2 linked regions of the Oryzias latipes genome follow. The protein of the gene in region 1 interacts with the protein of each later gene in a biochemical or structural test. Links are inferred from orthologs where the notes say so. Each region holds a gene or a part of one and is shown on either strand. Other genes may lie near its edges. The genes, in order: araf and gna12.

The links.
Region 2: the proteins of araf (region 1) and gna12 form a complex in vitro, tested with the Homo sapiens proteins (2 studies listed by BioGRID). The link is inferred for Oryzias latipes from reciprocal best matches to the Homo sapiens genes ARAF and GNA12.

Annotation. Positions count from the first base shown.
Region 1 is NC_019867.2:28,402,935-28,412,921, forward strand, and holds the start of araf (serine/threonine-protein kinase A-Raf), read left to right. Parts: upstream 1-4,400; 5' UTR 4,401-4,516; intron 4,517-4,553; exon of another isoform or gene 4,554-4,819; intron 4,820-6,030; 5' UTR 6,031-6,143; coding exon 6,144-6,254; intron 6,255-8,925; coding exon 8,926-9,029; intron 9,030-9,987. Other genes in the region: U3 small nucleolar ribonucleoprotein protein IMP4, read left to right, coding at 1-4, 106-260, 2,064-2,158, 2,241-2,314, 2,389-2,501. UniProt on the Homo sapiens protein: Involved in the transduction of mitogenic signals from the cell membrane to the nucleus. May also regulate the TOR signaling cascade. Phosphorylates PFKFB2.
Region 2 is NC_019859.2:21,406,901-21,416,427, reverse strand, and holds the end of gna12 (guanine nucleotide-binding protein subunit alpha-12), read left to right. Parts: intron 1-4,495; coding exon 4,496-4,702; intron 4,703-5,780; coding exon 5,781-5,942; 3' UTR 5,943-8,876; downstream 8,877-9,527. UniProt on the Homo sapiens protein: Guanine nucleotide-binding proteins (G proteins) are involved as modulators or transducers in various transmembrane signaling systems. Activates effector molecule RhoA by binding and activating RhoGEFs (ARHGEF12/LARG).

The sequences.
Region 1 (9,987 bases):
CCAGGTATGCGCTCGTTCAGCGTCACTCCTGCGTTTAACCAGGTGCTGGTTATTTAGACTACTTGGTGGCGGTTAAGTCCTGCAGAAACTCTGTTGTCTCTGCAGACGGCCTGGTGGTGTGCCACCTCCCCTTCGGACCCACAGCCTACTTCACGCTCTACAACGTGGTGATGAGGCACGACGTTCCTGACATTGGCACCATGTCTGAAGCTTACCCCCACCTCATTTTTCACAACTTCACTTCCCGGCTCGGCAGGAGGGTAAGCGGTGGGGCCGCCCCGTGCACACTCCTCACAGCTGTTCACACCGAACGTGGATTTGTGTCCGCTGCCGCTCTTTTGACTTGCGTCAAATTTGCTGCTGGATGCTTATCCAGAGATGTTCTCATAAACATGACACTCCCACCGCATGTGGGAGGAGCTACATCGCTACGTGGAAGCAATGGTTGTGTCCAAATTGGTGGTCTGCGTTCTTCCTGGGCTGCATTTGAAGTGCTGTCCAAATTCAGCAACTCCCACAAATGCGGCCATCCAGCACTGCCCTCTTTCTTCCCAAATTTCAAGGATTGGTCTGCTGTATTCTTCTATGCTGTCCATATCCCAAGATGCATTGCAGCCAAACCTGGAGATTTTCTGACAACAATGACGGACTGTGAAGTGGGACCTGGAGTTGGAATAATTACACCTTTTTATAATTACTCCTCCAAGATTAAAAGTTGGATCAAATAACACAGGAAATTTTTGCGCTCCATGCCTGGTTCGCTACTTCTTTCTGTTCCGGACTCACAGTTTCTAGGCGACAGGACATTCGCCGATGTAATGGCTGCAATCATCTAAAGGCTAGACTCGTCCAAATTCACAGTCGTTAACATCCGGCCTACCCGCTCAAAGAAGGACCCGGCCAACGTCGCCTGGGAAGGATGTGGCTGTTGAAGGATGCAGCTTTAATTCATGGAAGACTCAAAGGATGTTGAAAGATCATATTTATTTATTTTTAACAAGCTCTAAAAAAACGGCAGTACAGTGATCCATGTTTGGGTTTGTGAGATCAATCAGAGACCCTCCCAGGACGGTGAGATTCACCATCTACTGCAGGAGCTGCAGCTGAATGACGGACGCTTTCAGCGCTACTTCTGTCTCTCTGTGACCCAGTTTGACGACTTGGTGGGAGGGAAAAGATACACATCGAATAAAATTACAGGACCTTACGGTGCAAATAACAAAAGTATCATAAAGTTCAGGAGGACGATCAGATTTTCCTCCATGTAGATTTGGATGCCACCCGCTGGTCACATCATCAACACGTCACGGGCCAAAGCAGAGTCCCTGATTGGCTAACTCAATTTGTCTTTTTTGCCAAGGTTCAGATATTTAAAATGTGAAAACACTGCGCCGCAACGCCTGAAGTTCACTGGTGACAAAATGCGGCGCATGACGGTCAAAACGCGTCGCAGGACCTCTTGATTGTTTTTGTTAATTGACTTAACATTGAAACTGGACCGTTGACTGTATACGAGAACTGGACTGAGTGTGGCGTCAACCATTCCAACCAAATGAAGTCAATTCAGTCGACTTTTTTTTTTTCCAGCAATACTGCCGTCGCCATGTTAGAATCAGTCGACGTCAGTAAACAGTGATTGGTCCAAGTTGGTCTGAGTCAGGGTTTCTATGGCAACCTCTCTCACCAATCAGGAGGGGGCTTCTTGGAAGTCCACACCGCTACCACTGGGAGGCGTCCTCAGGAGAATCAGTCAAACATTTATACTTTCATTCAGACATCTGATTGGTCAGTTTATAACTTGCAATAACAAATTATATCATGAAAAAAATTAGGATTAGCAAGAATATGTAGGAGAGCAAGAATGGTTATTCTGACAAATAGAATGACTGAGTTATCGCTGTTCATTTCGCTATGTGATTTTGGCTTCTTTGATCCAGCGGGTACTTCCTGTTTGGAACGCCATGGGAGAGGGGACATTTAGTCCAGTAATATGGCCAATGAACTGGACATGTGCGAATAATGCTTGGTGTGAACGTAGCCTGTGATGCCCTTTGCCCCTACAGGTCTCCAGTATCCTCAAGTACCTGTTTCCAGTGCCAAAGGACGACAGCAGGCGAGTGATCACATTCGCCAACCAGGACGACTTCATCTCCTTCAGGTGGGTGTGGACCCGCCCCTCAGTCAGAGATGAGAATGCAGCATCTCTGGAAAACAACCCAGATCTTCTGTTTCTCCCTCAGACACCACACCTACAAGAAGACAGACCACAGGAATGTGGAGCTGACGGAGGTGGGACCCAGGTTTGAAATGAAACGTAAGTTTGGAGGGAGGAAAGTTCCCGCTGCGCTCGTGTGAGCGGCTTTAAAGTCCCTCTGTTTTTACCTTCAGTGTACATGATCAAACTGGGAACTCTGGAAAACGAGAACACGGCAGAGGTGGAGTGGCGTCAGCACGGCTTCACGCACACGGCGAAGAAAAGGAGGTTCCTCAGCGTGCAGTGAGAAGAAGTTCCAAGACCACGACGGACTCTTGAACAACGATGGCTTTATGCAGCAAAAAGGGTCTAACGGGACCTCGGTCACCATGGATGGACTATTTTATCTGTTGCTGTTTTTGTAATTAAAAAACCTTTCAGCTAAAATCCACAGGCTCTTGTTTTTTTATTTTCTTTTAAGCAGAATCAGCTTTAGTTTGACAAAACTTAAAACTCTAGGAGAAGCTTTTATGTGTCAGATCTTATTTATTTCATCTCAGTTTAATGTTTTATACTTCCAAAATAAAGCCTAAATTCAAATTTTTGTTTGCAGCGTAGTTGTATGACAGAAATAAAAATGCATTTGTATAATTTTTTAATTTATTTTTATTTCATTTTGTACTGTATTACATAATTCTATTTTGCCGTCTTGTTTTTCATCTTAAGGAAGATTTTGTTTAAAACTTGCTTCTAAATTGTCTCATTATACAATATATTTAGTTTTTAATCAAAGAGGGTCAGATTTGATGAAGTGAAAATGTGTGAGGGTCAACCATTTGACCAGGATTCTTTGAATTATTTTATGAACAATAAATGCAAATGGATATTTTATTGCAATGGGATACTTGTCAATTCAAACTAATGTTTAACAAAAATCACAATTTTTTGCTTGTCTTGTATGGTATCCCCTCTTTCTATTGACCAGCTACTCTTGAAATATCAGGCAGACACTGTTGTCTCATGTTTCGCTGAAAAAATCTGCCGGTTTCCACTTGTCCTGGAGGAAGTGGCCCTCACTGTCAACTTTGCTTTTTTATTTCCTGGTGGCATTTCAGAAATGAGCTAGAAAGTTTCACAGAGGGGTTGCACGACAGGTTAACAAAGGTTTAAAATATCAACCACAATCAAGAAATCATACACGGGTTCTAGAAAAGGCGGGGGGCCACATATTATTGATTTATGAAAGGAGCCTGCGGGCCGGTTCATATTTGAATGCGGGCTGCATTTGGCCCATGGGCCGCACTTTGGACATGCCTGATTGAAAGGGATTGTGTTTGGGAAAATGTGGGGTTGAAGTCGTGCTAAAACATACAATGTCTAACAACCTGGCAGTTTGAACCCTGGAGCAACCAATTGGTGCACAGTGCCAGTCCTGAGCTATTCATGTGCTGTGATAAATCTGGAAGGAAAAACTTGGGATGAAAGCAGAAAGTGCCTATTTATTCATAAAAATACAGATTAGAAAAAAATTGCTCTATAAATTCAATAAGATTGTATCTATGTCTCTAAAACTTAAAATGATTACACTTAAGGAATTTTAAGTATTAACAAGTTTGATCGCAATTATTTTTCTTAGATAAATGCCTGTGGGCCAGAGGGAGATTGAACTCGGGCTGAATTTAGCCCATGGGCCGGACTTTGGACACACCTGATCTAGAGCTATTTTCAAATCCGTTTCTGCATTTGGGAAAGGTTGAAGCCTTGCTATAACACACAATGAATATAACAGCCTGACAGTTGAACCCCTGAGCAAACAATTGGTAAACACAGATGAACCTACAAAGATGTACCTGCCTGCACAAGGAAACACTTTTGGGATAAAAGTGCAAAGTGACTGTTTTTCCCCTCATAAAAATCAGAATTAGAAATAAAATAAAAATTCATGGTAGGATTATATTTATGTCGCTAAAACTTGAAAACATGAGGCAATTTCAAGAATTAATTAAATTTATCGTTTTTCTATGTGTTTTTCATTGGTAAAAAAACTTTTTGAAAAAAAAACCCATCTCATGTTGCATAAGCAGATGTTGAAAATCTTGCGCGGGATTTGCACCCTCATTCTGTGCTGATGCTAACAATCACTCGTTTACGTGACAAGTCAGTTCGCAGCGCCCACCTCTCAACACCCGCAGGTGTCCTTGTCCAATCGGAGGACGCGGCTGCTGGAATCAGCCAATCAGGAGGCAGCGCCGCGGAGTTTTTCCGCTTTCCCGAACTTCTTGACAGACTTCAGATTGAGACAATTCAAGATGGCTGCTTCAGGTGAGACCGAACTTTTGGATGTGAACTGCTCCAAAACACCGTGAAGTGAGTCGGCCGGGTCTTCGCCGTGGCGCGGCGGCTTGGATGGGTGCGGGCCTGTCAGCTGAGCGAGTGTTGGTTACAGTAAGCGGCGCTAATGGGAGCTTCTGAACCGACTCCGCGGTTACACCCGCAGGTTAGCTAACATTAGCCGCCTAGCATCAGAGCGGCTCGCGGTGAAGTGTGTGCGGCAGCGGGATTATCTCCTTCCGCTCCTGGAGCTCTGCAGCTTTCAGAGCGGACACAGCAGAGTCCCCCACTCAGGTTAGATTGCTATAATGTCATAGAAGTTTCCAGGGCGTCACTTTTGACCTCCGCGAGACCCGTAACAAACTTATTTGGCTAGTTAGCTGAAGTGGTAACGGGCGCCTCGGCTTAAACATGGCCTCCCAACTGAAAGTGTGTGGCTGCTCAGAGGCTGCGCCGCTGCGGCCGAGGGGGAAACGTGAAGCGCCTGAGCGGCCGGGATGCGGCGGTACACGGTACCGTGGGTCTCTCCCAAAGGTTCTGACAGAAACCCAGCTGCGTCTTACCCGAGTTCGGCTCTGTCACTCAGACGGAGCCCTGTGCGCCTAAAAAACCCGAGTATATTCCCAGAGATTTTCTCTTGATTATGGATTCTGGTTGAACGAGTTCGGTTGGTTGATCCAAACCCACTTACATGTATATTAATATTATTGGTTTGCTTCATTTTTAGGCATTTATGTGGTTAAGGCAATATTTTCTATTTACTTCTGACACAAAGTAAACAAAACAAATGCATGTAACAAATCAGTTTAAAAAAGGTTTGGTTTCTTTATGTTAAAATAATCCACATTTTTTATTAGTTATCATAAAACCTTTTTCCTTTTTAAAACCACACCAATGAAAATGAAGATATTGGTGTTTCAGAAGAGTTTGTTGCATTTTCTTTCCTAACATTGTAGAACATATATTAAGAAAATTTAAGATTTTAATAACTTTTCTGAATATTACTTTATTCACATAATTGTGAATCAGGAGTAGACATAAAAAAGTTGGAAAAAGCTTTAAATCTGTCGTAGGAGTTAAAACTGCAAGTTCCCTGCTCCGCATCCACTTCTACACAAACAGACCCATGAACGTCTCCGTTTTTCTCGTCTGAGCCGGAATCTGGACCTAAACTGTACGACTGGATAGCTCCGATATTGCTCGCCATTTTTGTTGCACCGAAAATCCTAATTTGGGGGTATGGGGGGCTGTACGCCAGCGGGCGAGAGTTTTTTTTATTTTGGCTAAAAACGGCATAATCATGATTGAAAGACCACTGGGAACGCTTATACAAAATCAATCAGAAGGTGACTGTAGTGGGGCTTTAAATACATTTCTGCATGACTACAAAGCATTTTTTATTTCTATGAAGAAGCATTCAGACTTTAAAGTTTCATTAAATCACTGTGTACTCAAGGTTTGAACGTCCTGCACTCTTGTTACATTTTGTGTCTGTGCGTTTGCAGGTTCTGAGTGAAGGGCTTCTCTGGATCCCACCTGTGCATGCTGCAGCTCTCCTGAGGTTGCAGTTTGAGTGCTGCCCCCCCACCCCCACCCCCAGCTCCACCTGCCTCTCATCATGTCCTCCACCTCCTCTTCATACTCCTCCTCAGGGGAGACCAGTCCGGAGGATGTGCCTCGGGGCGGGGGTACCATCCGAGTCTACCTCCCCAACAAACAGAGGACAGTGGTGAGGCGACTGCGCATGCACTGGTTCTAATGTGTTTAAAAACGTATCTGTAGCACATCTATGAACATTCATTCATCCACGTGGTTCTGCAGCAGAAACGGTTCTAAAAAGAGTCAGTTTTTTCAAGTTGAAGACGTTTAGCCTCTGATCCAAGAGACTTGCCTAACTCTGAACTCCTTTTCTGTTGTCGCTTTTAACATGAAAAACTGCATTTTTCTCTGATAATAGATGTGTGAATGTTTACAGTAGAGGCTAGAAACTGAAGCTAAAGCACCAAAGAAAATTAGGCATGCCGAAGAAAGATGATGAATGCAAAAACCTGCAAAATTGGTTGGAAATATGGCTAAAATGTTGAATTCAATGTTGAATTAATCTGACAGATCTTTTTTTTTATGAATTTGTTCACTAAAAAATTGAAATGAGAGAAACGAGCCTAAAAAGGAAAACATGTTTTGATATTAAAAAACTATATAAATACTGAAAAAAACAAAACATATAATCCTAGTTACCAAGGTAAATAGCAATGTATTATTAATACATGTAAGGGATAATGCCTGACAAAGTGTCCACTATCAAAAATTATCTGATGTGAACTGTTGCGTCAGACGGTTAGTTATCAATTGATTGGTTTGTTTTTAATGTATCTAGGTATGAATATAATTTAAAAAATACTTCTTATGATCTATTTACCAGGTAAAAATCTGATCAAACTGTTCGTGTCTCGAAGCTCCTTCACAATTCATGCATAAAAACTAATTTTAACATAAGAAACAAACTTAAATGCTCACAACAAGCTGCTTTTAAAGGAAAGATTTCAATTAAAAGAAGCTGATGTTCTTTAAAGATTCTTAGTTTCAACCATTTCTCCAGCTTAAAGTTTGCTAAAGTTCTTTGCGCTGAAAGTTTTTCTGAGATATTTTTTACGTTTTCCCCAAAAATATTTATATTGATTCCCTTCACCCTGAGCCTGCTGATACCAGAACAACAGTCATATCTGACGCTATGATGATTTCAAGTGTTAAACAGACTAAAGAGCCAAGAGGATCTTCATTGTAGTTTAAAAACAGCTTCCACTTGTCTTAATAACACACCCAAGACTGATAAATTGTTCTGCTTTTAATATTTTTTTGTGCTCACAAGCTGCACAGCGGGCATCAGGTGTCTCAGACGATCCCGCCGCCACCATCCTTCATGCTCCACACGCCAAAGATCCATCTCATGTTCCGCTGTGTTGTCATATCAGTGTTTGTGTCACATCACAACAGCAAACACACATGTTTGTGCCATCAGGTTCTTCCTGTTCCCTTCTGCTGCTGAAAAACCTAACCTTTCCAAACAAAAATTCCCAGCATGCAAAGGGGGTTTTTTCCTCTCCCTCTGACATGAAAGCGTCACAAAGTTCAGTTTGATATCTGCAGCTTAAAGCGTCTTTGGAATTCCGATGATTTTCACCTTTTACCTCTTTTTTTCCCAAGTGCGGGGTTTAGCTATCTGTAGCTGTTGAGAGGAAAAGCCACTGAAAACATTTGACAGCAGGTTTGCAGAGATTATCATAAAGTAATCCCTAAGAAAGAGGGCGCTCTCTAATGAAGGAGCTGCCAGAGCCCCGCCCCCTCACAGCTACCTCCATCAGAAGGTTATTTTCTGTGGATACCTTCAGAATGACTGTCTAGCTGCAGCATCTGAATGTGAGGAGGATTGCAGGTACCTGGCCTTGAGAACTGGTCTGAAGAGCAGAGTAGTCAAAGATGATGACATTGAGATCTTCAGGAACATGGCTTATAGTCCCATCTTTGACTCTGGTCAGTAGCCTCTGTGGATGGAGGCTGGTGCTGAACCACTTTGACTCTGGTTTAGGAGTGCGTCAGAACACAGGGGCATATAAGGCTACATACACACCTGGCAGGGAGGCAAAGTTCAACGATTGTGACAGCTGAAGTCCTGGTCTGTTTGAGCCGTTGTGGGAATCTGCCCCATCTGCTTGTTTTGACCATCAGGTGTCTTTAAATGCCCACTCCAATGAAAATGGTCTTTTTTATGTTTTTAAAATGTTCTTGTGGCATTTTTCTGACGACGGACGCAATATAAGATCTATATATATAATAATATAATATAAGACATCTAAGATAGCACAAGGGTTAACCTTTAATCACCAGTGAAGATCACAAATCATTGAAGAAAAAAGGTTCAGCGCACTGTCTAGTGGGTCTAGATGACCCAAATCCCAAGTGCCTAAGATAGCACAAGGGTTACAAAAATTAGCCTTAATTTTGGATTTCTGAGAATTTCTTTATTCCAATCATTATGAATCAGGAGCAGATGAATAATGCCTTTGGAAAAAGATTGTAGCAGTAATTTATTGACAGACAAATGGATCCATGAACGTCTTTGTTTTCCTCGCCAGAGCTGGAATCTGGCTCTAAACTGTACGACTGGATAGCTATAAACAAATGGATGACGGGAAGTAGGGGCAGGCTTGTACTGCACCAACAGTCGCTCAATGCAGATGGGAATCGTTTAATGAACTCTTTAGAAAATGACAGTTTTTTTTTTAAAATTTAGGCTGGAAACGACATAATTACTATCAAAAGGCCAGTGGGAAGGCTTTTACAGTAGATCAAAAGATGATCAAAGGGAAACTTGAACTTTTCACCGCGGTGTGTGTCTGCAGGTCAACGTCCGCCAAGGTCAGACTGTGTACGAGAGTCTGGATAAAGCTCTCAAAGTGCGAGGCCTCAGCCAAGACTGCTGCGCCGTGTTCCGCCTCCTGGAAGGGTAAGCCCCCCTATCTGCTGTATGCCCCCCTCACATCCTGATTGAAAACCACAGCACACACAGCAAGACTAGTTTAGGTTAACATAAACTCATCAAGGTGATTTGGAACTGAAACGAGTAAAACATTTTTATGAAATGGACTCAACTGGATCTGTTTTGTTTTTAACCACTATATTTAGTTTTGTCTGCTTTAAAAACCTCCAGCTCACTTCAGTTTCATCGTTATAATTATTGTTTGAAAGCTCGTGCACAAAACTTTTTTCACCAAAAGTTCTTTATTTAAACCAAAGTTCTGATTTAGACACCCAGATGGTGGAATCCATTCAAACATGCAGGTTTCTAAAACTGTGTGGTACAGACTTTAGTGCAGACCTCTCTTTATAAACATCCATCTGTGGGTAAACGAATGTGTTTTTCCATCATCCAAGCTAATTTATTCATGAAGAGCCATATTCATGAGAAAGAGGAGATGAGTGGAGATAGAAGGTGGAGGGCGTCTCAAAGGGGAAGATGATCAGAAACAAAAAAGATGTATACTGATTTGATTTTTGTCAGTTGGCGGTTAGCACATGTCATGCATCAGCTGCCCCTGTTTCACAGCAGCTGTGCAGTTTATGCAGCAGTTGCATCGTTTTCACGGTAGTGTTGCATGTCATGCAGCATCTGCACAGGTTATGCTCTCGAGTCTCATCCACGTTTCAAATTTAGCAAGTCACAAGCTTTATCTTACAGGTATGCTCTGTTTTTAATTCTTAAGGCCTGTACAAAATAGTATTATACGGTAGCCGTTTATTAATTTAATCTTGATGGATCTAAACCATAATCATCAACCAAAACCTCATGTTGCAGCGATGACAAACTAAAATAAGTAATACTTTGTAATATTTGCTAATGGAAGTCACGTCCTCTGATAATAAGTGCACTTAAAGTTTAATTTTTACAGTTTCACCTGTGCAGA
Region 2 (9,527 bases), on another chromosome or scaffold:
AAAATTCGATAGAAGGGCCTGACCAGGACCACATGTGTGGAGTGAAAATGATATAACATGGAATTTAGATGAAAACATTTATATTGAAAATTATATTCTAAAACAGAATATTCTAGAGTTTTTAGTTTTTGTTCCCATTTTAGATCTCTTTTTTTATTGTGAAGCCCTTTGGTACCTTCAAGGAGTTGTAAAGTGCTATTTGATTAAAGTTTCATTCATTCATGGTCCTTTTAATAAAATAAATAACATTATTTATGAAATAAAGCAATGACCAAATAACACACTATGATTTTCAAAGACAAAAATTCAGGAAAAATATACTGATACATTTAAAAAACAAACAAAAAAATAGTCGATTCTCTCCCGTCGTAATCCTGATAAAGACCTTGAGGGCTGCAGCTCCTCACGTCTCACAGTTTGCACAGCCCCGCTGTGTCCTGTGCGTCTGTTTCTCATCCAGTAATTATGAAAAAAGCTCATTTCTATGTCTTCTGCTGCAGCTACTCATATATCTGCGTTACCTTTTCACCAGTACAGAGTTCCCTCGTTTATTGCAGGAGTTACGTTCTAAAAATAACCGTGATCAGTGAAATCCACGGAGAATGAATGATTACAGACTTTTATGGCAGTAAAACTCCTCACTGCCTAAATACACTTTTCTCAGACAGACATGAACATTTTCACACTTTTTCTTGTTTAAATTCTCACACCATCATAGAAATTAGTTCCAGGATCCTAGAATGAAAACAAAGATCTGATCATCCATCACAGATTTCTGATCTGATCCGCATAACGCGTTCCGCTGTACAGGAGACACGGCACGGACTGAGGAGATTGATTGACAAGGTCTCCAGCCAATCAGGACACAGAACAGGGTTGCGCTGTTTAAAAAAGGCAGCACAATCGCTCTAAAAGAATGAGCTAAACCGGGAAAGATGAACTGCGACGTAGAAAGGAAAGACTTAAGGCCCGTACACACCGGGACGAATATTCGCCAGGCGTTATTCGCCAGCGTTTTTCGCCACGTCTTTTGTGTTCACACCCAGGCGATTTTCGCTGACGATGAGCCGAGCGAACATGCAATTTCATTCCCTGACATTAGATGGCGCTTAATGTAAACAGAAATACTCCTGTACACAAGGTGGCGCTGCGCAACTTTACGATTCTTAAAGTCGCTTTTCACTCAGAAGAAGAGAGCAAGTATTTACGCGCTTGTCAGAATCAAACAAAGAAAACATGAATATTTCAAGCATCAGTAGCTCCAACTGGTACTTGGTAAGGGGATATTTAAGAATGTCCGTCATTATTTCTTCGCGGCAGTGTAGACGCTACTTGGCGTCTATCTTCTTCGCTGGTATGTGTGCTCAGAAAGGCAGTTTTGTGTTTGAGCGCCCCCAAGTTGTGTTTTACTGTAACTTCAGAAGCTCCAGACACGTGTGCAAAAGCGCAATTCTCATTGGTCGAATAGATTTCGACGCAACGCGTCGAAAAAAAAAACGAACCAGAGGCGTTTTTTTTTTTTGGACGCTTTGGCGCGTGGCGTTTTTTCGCGTCGGTGTGCACACTCTCATTGGTGCCCTTTGTTTAGTAACGAGGTGTTTCGCCGACGAAATTCGTCCCGGTGTTAACAGGCCTTTAGAGGGTTTCAGGTTGGAGCACAGACTGAGGAAGGAGGGAATAAAATGTCACGTCTTGATCGTGTGGCCCGATTAAAAAAAACAAAAAAAAACAAGGGTCTCTGATATTGTTCAGTGGGCCGGACCAAAGATGGAGGCGGGCCGGATCCAGCCCTCAGGCCGCAGTTTGCCCACCCCTGCTATAGACCATATTTTGTGAGTTAACAAATGTTTCGTTTTATCACCGGAGTGGAAATTGAAGTTGATGGAAAAAGGTTGAAGCAGCTTTTTGTAGCTCCGTTGGTTAGGTCTTGTAGGTGGAAAAATACGACATTTTATTATTAGAATATCAACAAGAACTTTCAAAGCTTAGACTGGTTTATAGTGGAGGATGAAACTGTGGCTCAAAACGGCTCATAATGTTCAACGAAAAACATTAACCTGACAAAAATTGATGAAAAAAAAACTTTGTGAAAATCAATCAATGGAAATGAAGCATTCCTGTTATTATAAAGCTCTTTAACTGAATCATTTAGAACAGCATTTTGTGATGACAGCCTCTTAAATGTAGCATTCGTTGAACTGTCTGTAAGCCTTTTCCTGCAGCTGTTAGCACAAAGTTTCCAGCACTGACACAAAAGACGTGAGTTTTAATGAAGCTTCATTTGATGGCGTGCAAACCCAGCCCCATATCCAGTCCAGTCTAGATGGAGTCCCCCTCCAGGCAAACTTTCAACACCTTTCCTCGTATAGAATGTCTCTTTGTTCCACATGATGCCTCTTGTACATCGACTTGTTACCTTCTGGGAGACGTCTGAGTCATTTCCAGTCAAGAGGGAACTTCCTGGTTGAACCCAAGTCAAATATTGTCAGAAGTGTGAATCATTTCAGTGTTGACCCTGTATAGTGTGAAGAGCAAGACGAGACGCATCTGACCCAACGATGCAGAGGACTGCACATTTTTTACCATTAAGATTGAAGTATTTTATTGAAATTAGACACTATGAGTCGATGTTTTAGAGTCTTTTTACATATAAACTTCTTTTAGAAAGTCTTGATGAAGGGGCTTTTTCTATTGATAGGTTAGTTCCTTATTAAAAGTGAGCAGCCTGAATTTCTGTTGATACCATGATTTCTGGGTCACAGTTTTGTTCCTGTGAGTATAAAGTGTGTTTTACAAAACAACACAAATTCACAAAATTATTTTTCAGTAAGCTTATATTAAGCCAGGTGTGAAGGAAAAAAACTATAAATAATAAATCCTTCCTAGATTTGTTACAACACATGTTTTTGACACTTTCAACCTAAACGGTTTATTTTAAGTATCACAATTTCCAAGAGACTTAATTTGGGGTTTTTCAAAACATTTCCTGTGAGTTGTTCCAATCAAAAAGTTTTCTATTTGTCAAACTGAGTTACCGAGTAATGATAATATTCCGATTTATTGATGTGTACCTTCTAAAAATCAGAAATGAATACATGCGACGACAAGAAAAGCAAAAACGTTAAGTCAAATTCTAAAGAAAAAAGGAAGGGCTTTACATTTGTCAGCACGAGACAGACTGGTTCATTTTTCTCTTCTTCAAGTTTGTTACAGCCTCAAAACCTAAAGTGGTGAAGTTTATGAATTTGGCAGGATTAGTCCTACCCGGAGGGTATATCTGACTCTCATAACCCTTGTGCCATCCTAGCCACTTTAACATTGGGAGTTGGGTCATCTAGACCCACCAGACAGTGCGCTGAACTTTTTTTCTTTAAAGATTTGTGACCTTCACTGGTGTCCATGGATTACATGAAATCTTTCCACCTTTATCCACCTTTGTCATGGTAGGGAGAACACGTCAATGGTCATCTTGACTCCATAGGATAGCACAAGGGTTAAGATCGGGTGTCCACATTTGGTTTATATTACCATAGTAGTTAATTCTGCTTAACTGGAGCCATGTCAAAGAGAATTAGAAAAGTCATATCGATCCATTTTGTTGGACTTTTTTATATCGCTTGTAGGAGGGGCTTGTGAAACCAGACTTTCATAGGTCGCTTTTATTTTGGAGAGTCCGCTGGAATTCTGTTTGAAAAAGCATCAAGCCAACAGCTGATCAGAAAAAGAGATTCAGGCTTTCACGTGGCTTTTTTTTCTTAATTGTTATGCTGACAGTAGGCACTGTACGATTGACCATCCCGCTCCGTATCCGGATTACTCCCACAGATCTCCACAGACCATTGGGGATGATGGTTGGACGGTAACAGTCGTGATCAGTTTTCCTTCAGTCTCAGTGGTGCATTTTATGAAAGAGCGGGATGTGAGTAGACTAGACTAGGAGTGCCTAGATGGCAGCTCAGAGCGGTGATAACAAATGTGACGTCTCTAGAAAGACCCACAAACATCACTCACTGTTTGGATGGAATGAAGTCTTGTGAGGACTCAAAGAAGCTCGGACTCTTTTGCAGCTTCAGGCAGTTTCGTTCTCTTATCTTCTCCTTCTGAAGTCGTTCCCTAAAGCTGAGGTCTCTGCTTTCCAGGGCAGGTGACATGCTGACTGCTCTGAAATGCTTTAACAGCTCCACTCTGGTCTAGAAGGTGGAGTTGGCTTTGACTTAAAACTGCAGTTAGAAGCTTGATGATAGGAACATGTTTTTTTTTGGCCCTCTCTCAACTTTTGGAATTATGAAATGGACAAGGAAGAGGCACAGGATCTGAGGCTTACACAAAGCTGTCTTTGTGGTATACTGAGGAAACTTTATTGTTCCCACAGTTGTGGCTCCATTTCAAATCAATGGTCATATGATGCCAACTGAATCCTTAATTGCTCCACAGATAAGACTTGGAGGAAACACACATACAAATACACACAGAAGTAATATGCGTGTTCTTCCAGGTCTTGATGGAGGACCGCAGGACCAACCGTCTTGTGGAAAGCATGAACATCTTTGAGACCATCGTTAACAACAAGCTCTTCCTGAACGTGTCCATCATCCTCTTCCTCAACAAAACAGACCTGCTGGTGGAAAAGATCCGAACGGTGGACATCCGGAAGAACTTTCCGGAGTTCAGAGGAGACCCGCGCAGGCTGGAGGACGTGCAGGTACACAGCTCTTTTGCTCCTCTCAGTGTGTGGATGGGCTGTTCCAGAATAAAGCCAGTCTGAAAACGCCTATGCCTCCGTGGTTGCATTTTGGTACAAAGTTAGAGTCGATGGAGGAGGAAAGCCATGTCTGAATAGTAACTATAACTATCACAGATAAAAAAGAAAGATTTAGAAAGAAAGAAATGATATTTACCACTTTAAACAATTTGACATTTAAAAGTATTTTTGTCAACTTCCTGATTAACTCCTAGAGGAATCAAAGCATAGACATCACTGTTGTTTAGGATCACTTAACAACAAATCCTGAAAATATTCTCCACAGTTTTTCCATCCTCAAAGCTTTGCTGACTACATTTCCAGTAGATCGATGACAAGCAGATATTAAATAGACACAGGAATACCTAAATAAAAATGTAACAATTAGGAAACATTCACAGTCCTCTCATCCAAACTGACAACATTGTTGTTTTATAAACGTTCACATTTTAGATCAACGTTCAGCAAACGCTTTCTGGTACGACTTTTCCACGCATGACGTCATTGATAAAAATGTTTTTGTATTATATTCCTAAATTCATATTCATTATTTTTATTTAAATTGTCAGTTTTTCAGAAGTCATTTCCATAAACTGAACTTTAGTCTCATTTTTGTCATCTCCAGGAAACACTTGATACTTTTACTTTGAAAAGGAGAACCTTCATCGACATTTTACTTTGAAGGTTTATTAGCATCCTGGGACACTAGTGTTTAGGATTTGTTCAAAAATTCAACATTATTCTGCATTTTAGGGCGATAATTACCTTGTCTGAAGTGTATTTTCACTACACTCTACTAGCTTTATAAAGATCGTGAATCAGCGATCTTGGACCTCGCAAATATTCATTCTCAAATTTTTAGGGACAGAATGCAAATATTGGAGTATTTGGATACTCATTACAGCCCCAGTAGCTCAGATCGTTATGTGCACCTCAGAGATCCCTGTGGGACGCGCTCTGACCACTCTTGTTAGCAGCACGTCTGGTCGGCCTGTAAAGGACTGATCTCCATCTCCAACTCGTCCTCTGCTCCTTCCAGGCGTTCCTGGTGCAGTCGTTCAGCCGCAAGAGGAGAAACCGGGGGAAACCACTGTTCCACCACTTCACCACAGCAGTGGACACGGAAAACATCCGCTTTGTCTTTCACGCCGTCAAAGACACCATCCTGCAGGAGAACCTCAAAGACATCATGCTGCAGTGACTGTCTCGCCATCCAAGACGGCTTCTCTGAGAGTAACTGTGAATTTAGGCTTTGAGGACTCCTGAAGCTCTGCTCACGCTGACACCACACAACCATGACTGTGCATGGGTGCAGCAGTCAGACTGAACCCCGGTCCCGTGGAGACTCAGCTTTTAACCTGTGGAAATGCGTCTGAGAGTCTGAATGTGTGTAGGGGGGTGGGAGTATCATCAGCGTGAGCGCGGAAAGTGTTTCTTCCTTTTTGTGTAAATAAAAATCCTGACAGCCGTGTCACTAAACGCAGCCAGACTGCAGCTCACGCTGCGCAGAGACAGAGCGCCAGGAGGAAGAGGCGGGGCAAAGGTTTCGGAGGCGAGCGCAGCAAAGTTTGGAAGTCCACGTGATGGAGGGGTGAGGGCGCGCACTGGTCATATGCCGTGTTGTGTGATAAGGTTGCACAAGTGCTCTTGTCAGGGCGGTTCGGCAGGGAAACGGGGGGGAGCGAGTTCTCCTGTGACCCCTGTCCTCTTCGTACGTCCGCTCTCATCTTCCCACCGTCGTTTAGAGGAGCAACAGCTGCGGAGAACAAGTCCTCCTCTCTGAGGGTCTCCCTGCGCTCCTGTCAAGCATAATAGACAGATTGTTCATCTGCCTCTCCAGCAGAAGCGGGAGACGCCTAAATGGGAGATCTTTGTTTAAGCACACACAGATCTTAGTTATGTATTACTTACGGGCTGTCTCCTTACCCCAATCCCTCCATTTCCTCGCAGCTGTACCATTGATCCACACCTAACTCCAGGCGAGAGCTTTCTGCTGCGCGGTGAGACGGCCGGCTGCCGTTTCTGTGCTGAACATGCAGGGGGAACAGCAGAAAGAGACGGAAGTGCCTCTGCAGGCGTCAGGCCTAAAGCTATGTTCACACTGGCCTCTGCAATGCATGTTCAAACGAGAGGGACCTGACTGCAGACAAGACGGCGCCTGACATCATTTGTCGGAAGGGGAATTTATACAACTTGTCTAAACAATACCCAAAAGTGTAAAAAAAAATTCTTAAGGCTTAACACAAGAAAACCCGCCAGTTGAAATTGTTGCAGTTTGGGAGTGCTTTCAGTTCTGGTGGAGGACTTCCGGTTCTGTACGTTGATGTCTGTAGCCAGGTCTTCTTGGTTCAAGCGGCCACTTCCAATAAAAGGTCTATGCAAACGTGCGTAACTGCACTTTTTGGGCTTTCACGTTTAAAACGCTTGCGTTCACCTCTCGCGATTCAAGTTACTATGACTGTTTACTGTTTCTATGTCCGTTGAACGCGCGTTGAAAGTTGAACCAGGTCAAACTTTGACCAATCAGGGACTCAGATTTGGTAGTGACATATGAATTACGTCCCTTTTCATTCACAGAAGTGCCAACTATTTAAAAAGTGATCATGGAAGACAAATGAATATCGGAATAGAGCTGTGAAAGAAAAAGCCTGGAGCCAGATTTGCACTGCTTTAGCATTTCGAACCAACTGAAGGTGGCAGACATGCGCTAGTAAACAGTAACAAAAGAAGAAGAAGAAGCCCCTCCCTGCTTGTCCAGTGTGAACATTATGGGCTAAGCATGCATTCAAGAACTTTGTGTGAACGTAGAAAGCAACAAAAACGCCATCCAAACACGTCCGACAGAAAAAAACACACCAATACTTCTTTAAATTAGCATAAAAAAGAGCTGGAGATGTTCAAATATTCAGCTGTCCTTTCCTCAGATCTGGCCTGAAGCCGCCAAAGGTCAGCTGAGGACACGGAGCAGTTTGAATGTGATCGCAGATTAGCGGCTCTTCTGAAGCACAGCTGTCAAATAGATCACACTTAGGAAAAGGAAAACGCGGATGGACGTGGGCACTTCCTCCGTTCGTTACCGGGGTTACACGACCGCCTCTGCGATCCGCTGCGACCATCTTGAGTGAATGAATTCAACTACTGTGTGACAAAAAGCACGACCTCTGGAGAGGCCTACTACACTTCAGCCATTTCCATAAAAGCTTTTCTCAGGTAGTTCTGACCAAAACATTTCCAAAGGAGTGTGAATATCAGTCCACACTAACAAATTATGGGAATTTGTTCTTGTTCCCATTTTTTATGCGTAGCCCCAATTCTGCTTCCTCTGGTTTATTATTTGAAAGGCAATCCATTTCTTTATAAACACAAACAACAAAACAAGCCTTTTAACCACTATTAACCGTTGTGCTATCTTAGATGACCCCACCCTTACATTGACGTGTTCTCCCTACCATGATAAAGGTGGAAAAATTTCATGTAATCCATGGACACCAGTGAAGATCACAAATCATTGAAGAAAAAAGGTTCAGAGCACTGTCTAGTGGGTCTAGATGACCCAACTCCCAATGTTAAAGTGCCTAGGATAGCACAAGGGTTAAAGGAAATTGCTAAAAATCTGCATTTTATCCACAAAAATAATTTTTCTGTGCAGAAATTTTTTTTTAAACCGGTTTGTTACTGAAATGTTTTGTTGTTTTATATTCATTTGGACTCAGAGGCTTTAACAGGTTGGAGGTGAAGTGCTCTTCCTGGTTTTAGGTTGAAAATCTGTCAGCAAAAACCAGACGGCAGACTTTTGTCACACCACGCTGCGTCCCATGGATTTCCTTTCAAAAACATGTCTCCGTGCTCGGCACACTCCTACTTCCTGCACATTTGAAGCTTGTAAATGAATGACACTGTAATGTTCACCCACAACTGTAAGTCTGTAACTGTTGCTGTAATGTTTGTTCTTAACTAACCTACCTTCCCCACTTCAAAAGTGTTTCTTTTTTTTTGTACTTTTTTTTTTTTTTCTTTTTAAGTGTGTCATTGCACTGGATGTGTGGGAGACGGGGTGGCAGGAAGGGAAAAGCGTCTGAGGAGGAAAAAAAGGCAATGAAACAAATAAACGGGGCCAAACAGGAAGAACCCGGAAGGTCGTTTGGTTTTTGTTTTACAGTGCCGACACGGCACGCTTCTTTGTTTTCATTTCATGTTTAAAGAAAGAAATGCTGAAAAGTGTGGAAAATTTTCACACAAACCCCCATAATGTCTATCATTAACCATCTGTTTACACTAGAGGCTTTGCTTCTGATTCCGGACATGGGACGAGTAATGTCGCCCCGATCCGCTGCAGAGGCGAGCTGTGGGCCCTCACCCCCCAAAATGTAATATGACGCTCATTAAGGAGGGCTATCAGAGCGCCGGGCCTGAGAGCCAAGCTGAAGTTTGGCCATATCTTCGTTACCCAGCAGAGCCTGACCTTTGCTTTGGCTTTTTAATCAGTGGAGCTCCGCCGTACAACAGCCTCCTGAGGCAGGGAGGGGTGCACGACCAGCACTTCTAGTTTTAGAAATCCCACTTCCACATAGATTTGCACCCAAAAAGATTTAAGGTCTATACCAGTCATGAGAAACGTCTGACAAACTGTGAGATGTGTGGCAAACACGCACAGAAAAACATGACTTTGTGAACATGTAGGCTCAGACGGGGAGGGACAGACAAAAGGAGGAAGAGTAAATACAAGAAAAAGTAAGAGCGTGGAGGGAGGAGGAGGAGGTTCTGTTTCCTCTGGAGTCCGCTTCCC